2 linked regions of the Stegostoma tigrinum genome follow. The protein of the gene in region 1 interacts with the protein of each later gene in a biochemical or structural test. Links are inferred from orthologs where the notes say so. Each region holds a gene or a part of one and is shown on either strand. Other genes may lie near its edges.

Region 1 (8,577 bases):
ACAAAACATTTAAAAACAACTTCAAAATGTTAAACGAAAATCTATTCCATTGAAAACAAAACTCAATGAGAAAGATCCATCTATGATTTCCCAATAAGGTTAAGGATAATATTAGATAGTTAAAAAGGCATATGATGTTGAAAAGGATGGTAATAAGTCTTGGGGTTGGGAATGTTATAAAAGCAGAAAAAAACCCCCAAAAAAATTAATAGAAAAGGAAGAACTAGAATATGAGAATATTGAAGAAAATATAAACTAGTTAGGAATATCAAAGTCGAGTGAAAGAGCTTTTAAAGGGGAAGAAAAATGAAGGCAGTAGCCTAAAGTAAGCATTTGTCGCTTAGAAGCAGAATCAAGATAGATTATCATGGGGTTTGAAAAAACGACAAAGACATGGAATAAATATTTTCTGTCTGTCTTCATAAGTTGCATACCAGAGAAAGGGGGTAATCTAGGGGCTGAATAAGAGTAAGGTAATCATTATCAGAAGAGAAAAATTACTGAAGAAACTCATCAGACTAAAATCAAAATGCCTGTGACTGATTGCTCACATCCTACATTTTGAAAACAAATAGCTAGAGAGATAATGGATGCTCTGGCAATGATTTTCCAAAATTCCCAAGTCTCTGGAGTAGTCCTAGTGGTATAATTAAGAAAGTCTTAACAATGCATCTTTAAAAAGCATTGTTTGATTTAAATAAGTTTAAGAAAAAGAGCACTATGTATCAGAAGCAGTTCTGAGGAAGGGTCACCAGAGCAGAAACATTAACTCTGATTTCTGTTCACAGATGCTGCCGGACCTGCTGAGCTTCTCCAGCAAATTCTGTTATCGTTTCTAACTTACAGCATCTGCGTTCTTTTGGATTTTTTTTAAGGACTGCAAATGTTGGAAATCAGAAACACAAACAGAAGAAATGCTAACTGTGCTCTCTCCACAGATGCTGCCATACCTACTGAGTTTTCCCAGCAACTTCTGTTTATGTTTGAGAATAAGCCAACTGGTTTTATAAAAGAAAAATAATGTTTTACTGACTTATTACTTTTTGAGAATGTAAGTATATGGGGACCAGTTCATGTAGTATATTTGAATTTCCATATGGCATTCAATGAGGTGTCCCATAAAAAGATAATGTACAAGAGCTCATAGAGATAGGTGTTACATATTAAAATGTCTTGCTTAATTGTGCCAGGCTTTAGTGAGACCACATATTTCCGAGTCAGAATGGTGAGTGGCTTGGAGGGGAACTTGTAAGTAATGGTGTTCCTATGTATCTGCTGTCCTTTTACTTCTAGACAGAACTGATCTTGGGTCTGGAAGGTGTCGTCTAAATAATGCTTAACAATGTAGAGATTGAATGGTTGTTTCTCCTGGTTGGGGAGTCCAGAGCAAGAGGACACAATTTCAGAGGAAAGAGTGGACTGTTTAGGATTTAGATAAGGACAAATGTCTTTATTCAAATGGTTATGAATCTTTGGAATCCTCTCTCCCAGAGCGTTGTAAATGTACCATCATTGAATATATTTAAGATTCAGATAGATTTCTTTTGCCTCACAGGAAATCAAGGAGTATGAGGGGAAGTTGAAGCTGCAAGATCAGCCGCGAACTTATTGAGTGGCAGAGCAGCTACAGGGGACTACTTGGGCTTCTCCTGCTCCTTATTTTTCATTCTTTCAGGGAATGTGGACATCACCACCCAGGTCAGCATTCATTTATTGCCCATCCCAAATGGCTTTGAAGAAGGCGCTGGTGAACCACTTTCTTGAATTGCTGCAGTCCACGATCTGTAGGCACATCTAAAGTTAGCCCAGTAAAAGAGGAGAGATGGTGGTACATTTCCATCTCAGGATGTGGTGTGACTTGGATGGGAACATGCAGGTGGTGGTTTTCCCATGCATCTTCTGCCCTTGTCCTTGCAATTGCTAGAGGTTGGTGGTTAAAATGTGCTGTCAAATGAAGCTTGGTGAGTTACAGAAGTGTATCATGGAGTTGGTACACACTACCACAATTAGGCATCAGTAGTGAGCGAGTGAATGTTAAAAGCGATGGATGGAATACCAATCAAGCGGGCTGCTGTGTGCTGGATGCTTTCAAGCTTCTTGAGTGTTCTAGAGTCTAGCAAGTGGACAGTGTTCCACCACATCCTTACATTTGCCTTTTTGATGGTAGAAAGGCATTGGGAAAACATAGAAACAAAGAAAATAGTAGCAGATGTTGTGCATTCAGTCCTTCAAACCTATTCTACCATTCAATATAATCATTGCTGTTCATCCATCCCAGTATGCTGTTTCCACTTTCCCACATTCCCTTTGATTCCTTTAGCCCTAAGTGCCATGTCTAACTCCTTGAAAACACTTTTTTTGTTTCAACCACTTCCTATGCCAGAGAAATCCACTGGCTCACCACTCCCTGGGTGAAGAAATTTCTTGTTATCTCAGTCCTAAATGAGTAGTTCATATTTTTAGACTATAAGCCCAGCATCTGGAATTCCTGGTCATCAGGAACATCCTCTCTACTGTTTATCATCTCTAGTTGTGTTTGAATTTTATAGGGTTTCTATGAAATCCAGCTCCCCCCACCATTTTTCTAAACTTCTGTGAATATTGTCTTTGTTCATGCATGAGGTCTTCAATCCTGGCAATCCGTCAGGTAAGCCTTTGTTGAACTTCCTCCATAGCCAGAACATCCTTCTTCAGATAAGGAGACCAAAGTTACACACAGTGCACCAGATGTGGTCTTACTAAGGCCCTGTACAATTGCAACAAGATATCCATGCTCTTGTATTTGAATCCTCTTGCAATGAAGACCAACATACCATCGATGCTGCCTACCACACGTGCATGCTTACTTTCAGTGACTGGTGTACAAGGACGTCCAAGTCTTCATTGATATCCCCTTTTGCCAATGCATTGCCATTCAGATATCAGTCTGCTTCCCTGGTTTTACTACCATGGTGTACAACCTCACACTTGTCTATATTATACTTCACTTGCCACATATTTATCCACTCACTCAACTTGTCCAAATCACACTGAAACATCTTGGTGTCCTTCTCACAGCCCACCCTCCCACCCAGCTATGTGTAGTCTACAAACTTGGAGATTTTACATTTAGTTCCCTCATTTAAATCATTAATATATGGTGTTAATAGCTGGGAACCAAGCATAGATTCCTATAGTATCAGACTTGGCATTGCGTGCTGTTTGGAAAAAAGATCCTTTTTTCCCTACTCTTTCCCCCCCCCCCCCCCCACCGCGGCGTGTTGTAAAGCAGGACCACCAAAGTGGGTCTGACACAAGCAGTTAATGTGAATAAAAATGAGCTCCTGTGTGTCACTTGAGGCTTCCCACGGCTGTCTCCCCCGTCAACTTCCCCCCCCCCACCAAAACACACACACAGGCACACACGCCACGCACCCCCGTTTCCAAAACTGGCCAAAACATCAGACAGTTTGTTACCCACACTTAAAACATTGAGAGCTTCCCCAATTTCAGAAATAAGCGATTCCCACCAGACTGCCATTCACTGCAACCAGCATTGCCCACGACTCAAGATTATGCACCAAATCCCTGCATTTGGCATACATATATGCTTTTTTTTGTCCAATGCACCAACAGTTGGATGAGCATTTGACTAAACACTGTGCGATGAGTCACTGTTTCTAACTTGATGTCGTGATAGATGTCACGGTGGGAGTAGAATGCAGCTCTACGCCCGAAACGTCAACTTTCCTGCTCCTCTGATGTCGCCTGGCCTGCTGTGCTCCTCCAGCTCCACACTGTGTTATCTATTATTTGCAACATATTTGCCCAAGCCTGGATGTGATCCAGGTTTTCCTGCATGTGGACATCCAGTCTGCTTCCTTCTTGGAGGCTAAATGTTGTGCAGTCACACATCACTTCTTTTGATTTTATGACCACCTATTTAATGTTCTTAAAGTTCTGACGGTGAACCCCAGCAAAATCTAGACCCAATTTAAAGCAAATGACAGATGGCCCCAGCGTTCAATGTGCCTGGTTGCGTATTTTTTTGCGCAGTATCACAGGCTCCATGTGATGTCCAGCTCGATATCCCATCAGCGCGGGAAAGGCAAGGGCGGGCATCATTTCAGTCACGCACTGAGAGTGTGTTCTGGGGAAAGCAAAACAGGCTCAGCTTTTCGTGGCAAGATCCTTAAAAGTGTCTTTTCTACTTTGGTTTGCATTAGCACAAGGCCAGTCCACTGGGTTAAAGGCTTATTCTGAACAGAAAACACGCTTTGTAAAAATGTGTCACGTCGGATTCAGCTTTTGATTATTTGAGCGTTAGATGTCCGATATGTGCAGCTACTTCCTCAAGACCTCCCATCCCCATTTGTGTAATGTTTAAATGCTTCTCAACACGCAAATAAGGTTGTTTCCTTCCTGCCAACCGTGAGAATGGCCAAAGTTCCGACAGGAAAATCAAGCACATGAGGAAACACACAACAAAACGTGTCCATTACCTCTTCAAATCGAATTTACATTCTACTCCCACCGTGACATCTATCACGACATCAAGTTAGAAACAGTGACTCATCGCACAGCGTTTAGTCAAATGCTCATCCAACTGTTGGTGCATTGGACAAAAAAAAGCATATATGTATGCCAAATGCAGGGATTTGGTGCATAATCTTGAGTCGTGGGCAATGCTAGTTGCAGTGAATGGCAGTCTGGTGGGAATCGCTTATTTCTGGAATTGGGGAAGCTCTCAATGTTTTAAGTGTGGGTAACAAACTGTCTGATGTTTTGGCCAGTTTTGGAAACGGGGGTGCGTGGCGTGTGTGCCTGTGTGTGTGTTTTGGTGGGGGGGGGAAGTTGACGGGGGAGACAGCCGTGGGAAGCCTCAAGTGACATACAGGAGCTCATTTTTATTCACATTAACTGCTTGTGTCAGACCCACTTTGGTGGTCCTGCTTTACAACACGCCGCGGTGGGGGGGGAGGGAGGGGGTTGATGATGGTTAGGAATTGGGGCGGAAGGGGAGCCGGACTGGTGGGTAGGGGTGGTAAATCAGAATAATGCCTCTGGTGTATCTCCCCCCCCCCGCCGCCGCTTATGAAACGGTTCTATTTTGATTTATTCAACGAGAAAGCTATAAAATATTCCTGTAATAATGGCCGCTGTTTTCTGTGAATTGAGAATATAATTGCCTAGCAATACCAACCTTCAGAACAGCTAAGCGATTTCCGCAGTTTGTAACGTTTCCAAGCTGGCTGACTAATTTGAAATTAATTCATACTGAGAGAAATAGCAAACTGGCCGTGGACAGGACCACAGTCCAGATTCTGGAAGGCAATTTGTCTGCCAAGATTCCTGTCGACGTCACTAGGGTGTAACATTTCCGAGGCGAGTTCACGGGAGTGGTATAAAAGCATGGGCCACCGAATACAAAGTAGAAATGACCGGAGTGTAGTCTATCTGAATTGTACTGGATACATTATTCACGGCCTGAGATTTGTTAATACCATCGGTGATTTGTGAAATTTGTGCTGGTTTACCAGAGCTGACCTGAAGGGCACAACTTTAGTGAAGTCGGGCAGTGTTGGTACTGGACATAGAGAGGGCTTCACACTGGAGCTGTGTGTGTGACAACATTGGGCTGACATAGAGAACCGATACATTTTTAACCTTTGGAGGAAAGCCGTCTTCATTGACTGAAGCGTTCATCATAACAGCGTTGAACAGGAACGCGGCACTTGCTTCACTTCAAGATGTCTTTCGTTTTAATAGCATTTGTGCTCTATAATCAGATTGAAAATATAGCTACAGCGCGTAAGTAATATTCGATTTTACACATTCTACAAATTCTAAAAACCATGGCAATTGTAAAGAGAAAGAAGAAATGTAGTTTCTTCTGGTGTATTGCAAATCGACTGTCTTGTCTTCCGGCGCTTTTACCAAATGTTTAACCAACTGTTCTTTATTGAAAAGATCCATTCTGATTCATACCAGTTACAGAGAACTGATTGCCTCATCCTTAGCGGGATGCCCCCGCGGTTTCCCGCGAACCATCACTTGATGGAAGTGAAGGCTCTCAGTGTTAGAGGTGTGAGTATCCTCCTCCTGGAAAAGGGACCAGTTAGCGACATGATGGTCGACCAGCTTTGGAATGACGAACGAGCTACTCTGGGGAAAGACAGTAGCTTTATTTAAAGAAAAATCTGTTAGTGGATTGTATCGAAAAAAGGTAACGGTTATAATAACGATGAAATAAACGAGTGCAGTAGGTGCCCTTCATCTCCCAGTAATCCATTCTGAATTCTGAATTAAATTTTCTCAGCGGTTGTGCGCGAACAGAGACAAATCCCACATCTTGCGCGACGTTACTGGTGCAGTACCTGAGCTAAAACAAACCACTCCTGGTTATTGCGGAGCAACGAAAGGACAGTGGGTGTGATTTTGAAAATAACGTCAGACAGTGCAGTGATTCAGGTCTGCTGTTCTCGAATTCCCTGGTGGGGAACCCATAGCACCTTCTCTCGACTCTCATCACCTCCAGGTTCGCTGTCTACGTTTTTAAAAGGTCGTGCGTTGATTTGAGATTCCAGTAGAGGCAGTACTTCCAGGTTTTTTTTCTCTCCTGACTGTTTTAATCAATCATAGACAACAAGGTGTCGAGCTGGATGAACTCAGCGGACCAAGCAGCATCACAGGAGCAGGAAAGCTGACGTTTCGGGCCTAGAATCTTCTTCAGAAGGCTTCTGGTTAGAGTTAGGGTCATTTCTGAAGAAGGGTCTACGCCCGAAAAGTCAGCCTTCCGGCTCCTCTGATGCTGCTTGGCCTGCTGTGTTCATCCAACTGTACACCTTGTTACTTCAGATTCTCCAGCATCTGCAGTTACTACTATCTCTGTTTTAATCAACCCCTTGCGCTGTGAATTGTGACATCGCGAATGGAACACAGTCGCCCGGTTTTTGGGGAAGGTGGACAGCTACATTGGTTTGCACACGGAGCTCCGACGTTCTGAAAGTGAGATTGCAGATAAAGCGGAGCTCACACCCTTGTAATTCGACAGTGTGGCAGATGAACTAATAATTCCTAATATCTAACACGAGCAATTGCTCACTTATAATTGCTTAATAGTGGGATTATTTTCGGTTAAGTACGCTATTTGTATCAGAAATTTAAGATAGACTTCACCAGTTGACGTTTCTAATGTAACGTAGAAACGAAATCAAAATACTCCAGTTGCTGGAAATCTGAAATGAAGACAGAAATGGAACAGACATGATGCCAGACTTGTTGAGTATTTTCACTTTTTTTAACTTGTCAGTAACATTACTGACCGAACAGACTATAGATTGGATGTAATTAGACATGTTCGCATTAAACCACAAACCTTCCGCATGGAGATTCCAGAGGGATTTGATGGGGGTTGGGGGTGGCCGCAGTTTTTGTTGCACTGTGGGTGGGTTGAAGAAGCGGCGCGGTTCTGCCCCGCACTACGGCTGGAGATGCTCAATAGCACGTCCTCACTCTGTCTTCACAGTCGTTTCAAACCCAACCTACCGCAGCTCCTTTTGTAGCTGTTGAACGCTCCGGCGCAGCTCAGGTAGTCCACATTGAGAGAACGCTCAGTGCATGACCCAAGGCGCGAAGTGGGTTGGAAATGGAATGAATGCAAGATTATCAGTTGACCCAGGTCATATTCGCATCAAACTAAAGTCTAAAAAGCAACAACCAATCATGATTTCAGCAGCTCTGTGACACCAATAAGCTGCATGCTTTATTAAGTGACAGTTTGAGTTGTAATACCTTTGTAGAATAATAATGTACAGGATTCATCAGTAATGTATAAAGTTTAAACTCCTCACAAACAAAAAATAGCACTTCAACACAGCGATCAATTCAGAATATGAAATCAGCAAATGTCTTTATCTTCAGCGCATCTTCCCGAATGATTTTATTTGGTTCAGACATGACAAGGAAGGAGGAGATGGGAAGCCATGGTATGGTATTAATACAATGGGACCAGTAATTCCAAAAATCCCCGCCAATGTTTAATTTCAGTTACGAGGAAAAATTCAACAAGTTGGAACTTTTTGAAGGGAAGGGCTGAGAGAAGATCTGATAGAACATTTGGAAATCATATACATGAAGACGAAATGCTTGGAGGGACATAGGCCGAGCGTAGACAAGTGGGACTAATTTAGTTTGGGTTTACGGCCAGAATGGACCGGTCCGTTTCCGGGCTTTATCGCTCTAAGAGCGGTTGGATAGTATAGATAAGGAGAAGCTGTTCCTTCTAGTAAAAGCTTCAAGAACTAGAGGGTGTAGATTTGAGAATTTAATGTGAGGAAGAACATTTTCACGCAGAGGGCGGTGGGAATCTGGAACTCACTGTTTGTAAGGGTGGTGCAGGCAGAAACCCTCATAACATTGAAATATCTAGATGCCAAGGCATTAAAGGCTATGGGCCAAGTGCTAGAAAATGAGATTAGAATAGTTAGGAGGGTGATTTTGACAGGTTCAGACTGTCAAAGGGCATTTTCCTGTGTTGTAAATCTCTGCGACTCTACCTTTTAAAGTGATTTGCAAAAGAGGCAAATGTGAACTGAG
Region 2 (8,000 bases), on another chromosome or scaffold:
TTTGTGACTTTGATCGAGGGATAAATAATGTCTGGAACTCTGGGAAGACAGCAGGCAGATTTGTGAGCATATGGATTGGAAGCTGGAGTAGGCCATTTGGCCCACCAATACTGCTGTACCATTTAATTCATTCGTGGCTGATCTGATGCTAACCACAGCTGTGCACTCCGACTTTCCTCTGGTAACCCGTAAATCTTTCTCTTATCAATAATCCATCCACTCTGGATCTCCGTCTGAAATGGGTTAGCCCTTGTTTTGAAACAGTGATCCCTAACCCTGGGTGGACCCCACCAGGAGAAACATCCTTCCCACATCCACTTTGCGTGGGGGGTATGGGGCATCGGTTTCGGCCCTTAGCCTAAAGAGATCTTTGGCAAGTCATCACTCCCTAAATCAGTTAGCTCAATTGGTTGGAAGGCTGGCTCACAGCACGGTGCATTGGCAATAGCATGCGTTTGTTTCCCACACCAGCTGAGGTTATCACAAAGGACTCTCCTCAATCTCACCCGAGGTATGGTGACCTGGTTAAACCACCACCTGCTGTCTCTCTAAAGAGGAAGCAGCCCTATGGCCTGATTATCATCATTGATGGTCCCTCACAGACAAGGATGACTCACTACCCCTCTCAGGGTGAGTCTGTAGGCAGCCGTACAGACTGAGGGGGCTACCGCAGGGCTCTGTTACCCTTGGGGCAGAAGGTGGGCACAGGAAGGAGTGAGCAGGGCGTAGGTGTGGCAGCGCGCCCCTTTCCCTGTTTTCCACCCAGCTTCCACTTTCTCCCGACAGTGAGTCTCCAGGAGCTCGGCAACTTCCTGGATGCTCCTCCTCCTCCACTTTGGATCGTCTTGGGACCGATGATTCCCAGGTGCCTGTAGGAATGTTGCACTTCCCCAGTGAGGCCTTGAGGAGGATCACTGAAACACTTCCTCTGTCCCCCTGGGGCCGGCCTGCTGTTTCAGAGCTGGGGGTAGGGCAGCTGCTCAGGGAGTCTCCTGTCGGACACATGGACAGTGTACCCAGCCCATCGCAGCCGGTCAAGGAGGGGGGAGGTCAGGGCCTCAATGCTGGGGTCAAGTCCCACCACCTCCAGAGATGAGTTATAACATCCGGGCTCAGGGTGGCTGGGAAATATCCAAATGCATCTCTGTGACCTTCGGCACTTTTGTCCCTGGGTGCTGTGTGTTAGGTCACCGCAACATTAACTCTGATTTTTTTCTTCACAGATGCTGCCAGACCCACAGAGCTTTTCCAGCAACTTCTGTTTTTGCTTACAGCATCTGCAGTCGTTTTAGTTTTTGTTGTGTGTTAGCGCCTGGCCAAAGACACTGGAGTTGGAGCATCGTTCCTCCCAGCAGATTTGCTGGATCTTGTGTGAGCAGCATTGGTGGGGCTGCTCCAGTGCATTGTGGTGTCTGCTATAGACAGTCTAGATTAGATTCCCTACAGTGTGGAAACAGGCCCTTCGGCCCAACAAGTCCACACTGCCCCTTAGAACATCCCATCCATCCCCCTGTAACCCACACACCCCTGAACACTACGGGACAATTTAGCCTGGCCAATCCACCTAGCCTGCACATCTTTGGGCTGTGGCAGGAAACCAGGGCACCCGGAGGAAACTCACGCAGACACGGAGAATGTGCAAACTCTGGACAGACAGTCACCCAAGGCTGGGTTCGAACCTGGCGCTGTGAGGCTGCAGTGCTAACCACTGAGCCACCGTGCCGCACTAGTGACAGTATGTGTGACTGTGAGAGTGTTTGTGTCTGTGAGTGCATGTGTGTCTGTGAGAGTGTTTATGTGTGACTGTAGGAGTGTGTGTATGTGTCTCTGTCTGTATATGTGCGTGTGTGTGCGTGTCTGTGGAGTTTGTGTGTGACTGTGAGAGTGCTTGTATGCGACTGTGAGAGTTTGTATGTGCCTGTGAGAGTTTGTATATGTGTCTATGTGTATGTGACTGTGAGAGAGTTTCTGTGTGACTGCGAGAGTGCTTGTATGTGACTGTGAGAGTGTTTGTATGTGTGTATGTGTGTGACTGTGAGAGAGTTTCTGTCTGGCTGTGAGAGTTTGTGTGTGCCTGTGACAGTGCTTTTGTGTGTGCGTGACTGTGAGAGTTTGTGTGTGCCTGTGAGTGCGTGTATGTGTCTGTGTGTGTAGTGGGGAGCCTACTGCCTTTCTGATTAAGACCTAGCCTAACTCTACAGTTGCCCAGGTGCCAGCCAACATGATCTGTTTGTTTTCACAGGCCCACATCATTGAATAACAAAACAGCAGGATTTGTTGCCCCCAGGGAGACACCAGAACTAAACAACAGGAAATCTAACCACCCGGTATCACTGATATCAAAGCTCAGGAGTCAAAATACACACTGCACCAGGCTAGTGGATTGCAAATGGTTGATCAGGGACAGCAGGGGAACATGGCAGTCTGCATTTACGATGCATTTTTCATGACCACCAGTCACCTCCCATGTTTCGCAGGTAGTGGAAGGCAAGCCAAATTACACACAGCAAGATCCCGCACTGAGGTAACAGCCAAATACTGTGCTGCCCTCTCTCAGCAACAATTTGCATTTCTAGAGACGGGTCACACAAGTGTTAACACTCGACACTGGGCTGCAAAAGTGCAGACGTCCAAAGATCAAAGAGATGCATTTGGATATTTCATAATCAACCTGAGCACAGACGTTACGACACACCTCTGGAGCTTTTGGGACTTGAACACTGCCTCCTGGCTCAGAGGAAGGGACACTACTACCATGCCACAAGAATCCTCAAGGAAATGTCATTTTTAATCAACAGATTATGACACATCTCCAGGACAGGGGGGAATTTGAACCCAGATCTTCTGGACCAGAGATAGGGACACTAACAGTGCCACAAAAGCCCTCAAGAGGTGGATTTGGAGGAGCTAGAGGGAGTGGCGGAGACGTTGAGGGATTTGGATTTCAGAGTTCAGGGATCTCAGGCAGCCGAAGGCAGAGTGAAGGAAACAGAGATGAGCAAAGAGGCCAGAATTAGAGGAATGCAGAGATCTCAGAGGGCTGTAGGTCACAGAGATAGAGAGGGGCGAGGCCACACAGAGGCGATAAGCATCCTCTCTACAATGTGGAATGCAGGGCTGTCATGGCATGAGAGGAATTTGAAAAACAAAATTCCCTGAGTTTAGGTGTGAGACAGCTCAGTCTCTGTGGATAATGGGGCCAGGCATTCAAACTGCTGATGTGACATTCTGGGACCCAGGCTGAATGCGAAGTGCCTCAGGGCAGTGTTCAGGCCAGAACTTTATGTAAGTCTGGCTGTTCCAGATGACTCCCCACCCCATCTCCAGGGTCCTACTGCCTCTTCCTTCTGGATCATCATTTTCCTATTCCCTTTCTCCAGCTGTCTCTCTCCTCTTCCTCCTGTACTCCCCCTTCCCCATTCCTTCTTCCCACATCGTTGCTCCTCAGATTGCTCCTAATTAGCTGCAGGGATTCAGGAGGAGTGAGTGGAGGTGGGGTTCAATGAGGAGAAGGGGCTTCAGTGCAAAATTGTGGTGGGGTGGCGTAGTTCAAAGGGGGAAGGACTCAGCAAGTGAGGGGGGAGAGGGGTTTCAGTGGGGGGGCTGGGGTCAGTAGGGAGGGAAGATGGGTTTCAGTGGGGGGGTGGGGTCAGTAGGGAGGGGAGAGGGGTTTCAGAAGGAGACAGAGGTCTGTGGGGTGGGGGAAGAGGGGTTTTGGGGGGTCTGTGGAGGAGGGGCAGAGGGGTTTTAGAGGGAGATGGGGGGTCAGTGCGGTGGGGGAGAGTGGTTTTAAAAGGGAGGGGGGTCAGTGGGGAAGGGGGAGTTCAGTGGGAGAGAGTTTAGTGGGGAAGGGGATGCGGGGGGAAGAGAGGCACCTCATTGGGGGAGGGGAGAAGGAGTATGGGGGAGTTCAGTGGGGGAGGAAGGGGCTTCAGTTGCGGGTAGAGGAGATTCACCGGAGGGGTAGGGAGATCGGACAGGCAATCAGTGGGGGAAAGGGGTTGACTGAAGGAGAAGGCAGGTTTGAGGGGTGAATGCAGCACTGGGGAGGTGGGGATTCACATGCGGGGGAAGGGGGAGGTCAGAAACTAAGCTTGGTTTAGAGGACAGGGAGCCCAATGAAGAGGGGAAGATGGCACTGGGTAATGAATAGTGCCCATTCAAGAAGCCGGTAAGAGCTCGATGGAACGAGTGGCCTCCTGTGAAATGGGTGGGAGGGACGGGGAAGGGAATCTGTTCTCTATCCCCAGGACAGGATCGGACTGTCAGGAGTCCGGATGGTTAAAGCAGTTATTTACCCTCTTGTGGAATGAATTGACACTTTCTGATGTAGACACACCCCCGGTGGTTCAGCCCATCCCCTCTCAACCTGGCCCCTCTGTACCGTGGACCCAGCTCTGAGCTCCCACTCTCCACACGCAGTCGCTTTGTTTTGACATGAAATTGGGATTTAAAATCCGGAATCTCTGGGGACTTCTGAGCTCCACTTTCACGCAGGGGATCGGGGACGAGCCGGGATCCCGTGACTCGGGGGCGCGCCTGGGACTTGGCTGTAAATGTGTAAAAGTTTGAAGTGAGAGGAAGCGCAGGGAGAGTGAGAGAGAGCGAGCCTGAGCTGAGGATTGACAGAGCCCCGTGTGCCCAGGTTAGTCACTCACTTAGTTGGCTCTCTCTGTCTGTCATTCACTCTGGTGCCGGCTCTAACTCTCTCTCGCGTTGTACAACATTGCACTCTGATGTCAATGTGCATGCCGGTTTGTCGATAATTAAATCAGGAGTTACTTCTCCCTGTTTATCGCCGGCTGAATCTGTCTGCCTCATCTTTCTGAATATGTGTGAATCTCTCCCTCTCTCACCACTCGAGTCTGTCTCTTTCCCCTTGTCTGTCTGTGTCTCTCATTCTGTTTGCATCCACGCCTCTGTCTTCCTTCCTTTTCTCTGACCCTTTGTCTGTATCTCAATCCTCTCTTTTTCCCTGTCTCTCTCTCTCTCTCTTTCTTTCCCTGTCTCTCTTGTGGCCACGATCTGTGCCCCCATCTCTCCACCCCCACCACCCTCTCTGTGCCCCCATCTCTCCACCCCCACCACCCTCTCTGTGCCCCCATCTCTCTGACCCCCACCACCCTCTCTGTGCCCCCACCTCTCCACCCCCACCACCCTCTCTGTGCCCCCATCTCTCTGACCCCCACCACCCTCTCTGTGCCCCCATCTCTCCACCCCACCCCCTCTGTGCCCCCATCTCTCTGACCCCCACCACCCACTCTGTGCCCCCATCTCTCTGACCCCCACCACCCTCTCTGTGCCCCCATCTCTCCACCCCACCCTCTCTGTGCCCCCATCTCTCCACCCCCACCCCCTCTGTGCCCCCATCTCTCTGACCCCCACCACCACCTCTGTGCCCCTTGCGTCTCTCTGTTCCTGTTTCTTTCCCTGTCTCTCTCTCTCTCTCTCTTTTCTCCACCTTTTCTTTGTGTATTTCTCTCTCTCTCTCTCTCTCTCTGAATCTCCCCTTACTTTTGTACCCTCACACACTCTCTGAAATCAATGTTTGGTTTTGTTCCCAGGACCTTGTCATAGGGGGCTTCAACTCCCCCCACCGAATTGTTGCCTTGTTCCCCACCTCCCCTTTGTATTGGGACATCACATTCCCTGTCGATGTGAGGCACTGGAGGCGTGTAGTCATGTGTTGGACCAGCGTTTTGTTCTATCCAGTAGCTGCTCTGCTGCTGTCCTTACCATTCTGTCAGGTACTGTACTGTGTGGAGATGTGGAGGGGGATTATACAGTCAGATTAATGACTCTTAAACCATAATTAAAGTGGGGGGGGGGTAAACACAGAGAGCGGAAACTCTGGGAATCTGGAAGAGAAAGGTTAAAGTTCTCTGTTCCTGACCAGGGGTTACACCACAACTATTAAGTGTTCTTTTCTCCCTAGAGATTTCTGACCAGACTTTTCTGAATTTCAATGGGTCCATGGTAAATGTGGACCACGACTCTCAGACCAAAAAAAAACCACCCAGTCTCTGACTCATTCCTGACTCATTTGTCTATCGATGTTGTGACTGATGGAGCCACTTATTTCATAATCCTACAGTATATGAGACCTAGTTATTATAAGTGAGCACCACAATGCACAATACAGCCTAGGCACTGGCCATTCAGCCCAATTGCTCCATGCTGTGTCCCTTCACACTGTCTTCAGTCTCCAATCTCCATCAACCTGTCCTGCTATTAGATTACATTAGATTCCCTACAGTGTGGGAATAGGCCCTTCGGCCCAACAAGTCCACACCGCCCACTGAAGCGTCCCACCCAGACCCATCCCCCTATAACCCACACACCTCTGAACACTACGGGCAATTTAGCATGGCCAATCCACCTAGCCTGCACATCTTTGGACTGTGGCAGGAAACCAGAGTACCCAGAGGAAACCCACGCAGACACGGGGAGAATGTGCAAACTCTACACAGACAGTCGCCCGAGGCTGGAACCCGGGTCCCTGGTGCTGTGAGGCTGCAGTGCTAACCACTGAGCCACCGTGCCACCCCAAAGTGTCTCCCTATCAAGGTCCTCCCTCCATACTTACACCTTCATATACATTTGAGGCTGAGGGATAAAGATGCTTGGTGTCAGAAATGAGTATGGGAAGTGAGCAGGAAGATAATTTTTTTTAAGAAGTACAATCATTCATTCAACAGATGTGAACTGCTTCCCTGGAGAAAGTGGTTCAGAGTCAACCACTGGAGGCAGACCCTCAATGCCTTTCAGAAAGGAGTTCCAGGATTTTGATCCAGCGGTTATGAAGGAAAGCATTACATTTCCAAGTCAGGATGGTGGGGAACTCTTGGAGTGGTGTTTCCATGTATCTGCAGGCCTTCTCCTTCTAGATGGCCAAGGTCACGTCCCTGAAAGATGCTGGCATTTTGATCAGTTGTTGCATTGCATCGGCAATGCAATGGCCTAGAGGTATTCTTACTGGACTATTAACCCAGAGACTCGGATAATATTCTGGGGACCTGGGTTGAATCCTGCAGAAGGTGGAATCTGAATTCAGTAGAAATCTGGAATGAAAAGTCTAATGATGACTGTGAATCTGTTGCCAATTGTTGGAAAAACCCACCTGGTTCACTCACGTCCTTTTTAAGGAAGGAAACTGTTATCCTTACCTGGTCTGGCTTACACGTGACTCCAGACTCTTGACTGCTTTGTGGGCAATAAATGCTGGCCTCATCCTGTGAATGAATTGAAAAAACAAATCTTGTAGATAGAGCTGTGACTGAGCGTCAGTGGTGGAGGGAGTGAATGTTGGTAGATATGGTGCCAATCAATCAGGCTGCTTTGTTCTGGATGGTGTCCAGCTTCTTCAGTGTTGTTGGAATTGCACTCATCCAGGCAAGTGGGGAGTATTCCATGACATTCCGGGCTTGTGCCTTAGATAGTGGTATGTTTGGGGAGTCAGGAGGTGAGCTACTTGCTGGAGGATTTCTAACCTATCCTTGTAGCCGCTGTATTTATAGATATTTTCTCATCAACCTGTTCAAATATGTTATGATACACCTCTAGAGCAGATAGGAATTGAATCTATGCCTCCTGGTTCAGAGGTAGGGACACTACCATGACACCACAAATTACCAGCTGCGGTATTTATAGTCCAGTTGAGATTCTGGTCAATAATTTGCAGGATGTTGATATTGAGGGACCTGGTGATGGAAATGCCCCTGAAAGTCACTGGGGTGAGGGTTAGTTTCTCTTAGATTCTTTCAGCTGAAGACTGAAGGTTGCAATGGATGGGGTTGAGGCTGACGATAAGCTGCGATCATATTGAATGGCACTCGGGATTGTATGGTCTACTCTTATTTCTTAGGTTGTATATTCTAACTACTCTCAAGGCAAAGAAACTTCTTCAGAAAATCATAGAACCCTATAGTGTGGAAGTAGGCCGTTCGGCTCTTCAAAGAGCATCCCTCCAAAACACCCCCCCCCCCCCCCCCACCCTAACC

What was found.
Region 2: the proteins of flt1 (region 1) and vascular endothelial growth factor A-like are reported together in a solved structure, tested with the Homo sapiens proteins (2 studies listed by BioGRID and IntAct, with this or other methods). The link is inferred for Stegostoma tigrinum from reciprocal best matches to the Homo sapiens genes FLT1 and PGF.

Annotation. Positions count from the first base shown.
Region 1 is NC_081359.1:79,184,602-79,193,178, reverse strand, and holds the start of flt1 (vascular endothelial growth factor receptor 1), read left to right. Parts: upstream 1-5,374; 5' UTR 5,375-5,729; coding exon 5,730-5,790; intron 5,791-6,340; exon of another isoform or gene 6,341-6,517; intron 6,518-8,577. UniProt on the Homo sapiens protein: Tyrosine-protein kinase that acts as a cell-surface receptor for VEGFA, VEGFB and PGF, and plays an essential role in the development of embryonic vasculature, the regulation of angiogenesis, cell survival, cell migration, macrophage function, chemotaxis, and cancer cell invasion.
Region 2 is NC_081392.1:9,087,557-9,095,556, forward strand, and holds the start of vascular endothelial growth factor A-like, read left to right. Parts: upstream 1-4,359; 5' UTR 4,360-4,645; intron 4,646-5,564; 5' UTR 5,565-5,681; coding exon 5,682-5,747; intron 5,748-8,000. UniProt on the Homo sapiens protein: Growth factor active in angiogenesis and endothelial cell growth, stimulating their proliferation and migration. It binds to the receptor FLT1/VEGFR-1. Isoform PlGF-2 binds NRP1/neuropilin-1 and NRP2/neuropilin-2 in a heparin-dependent manner.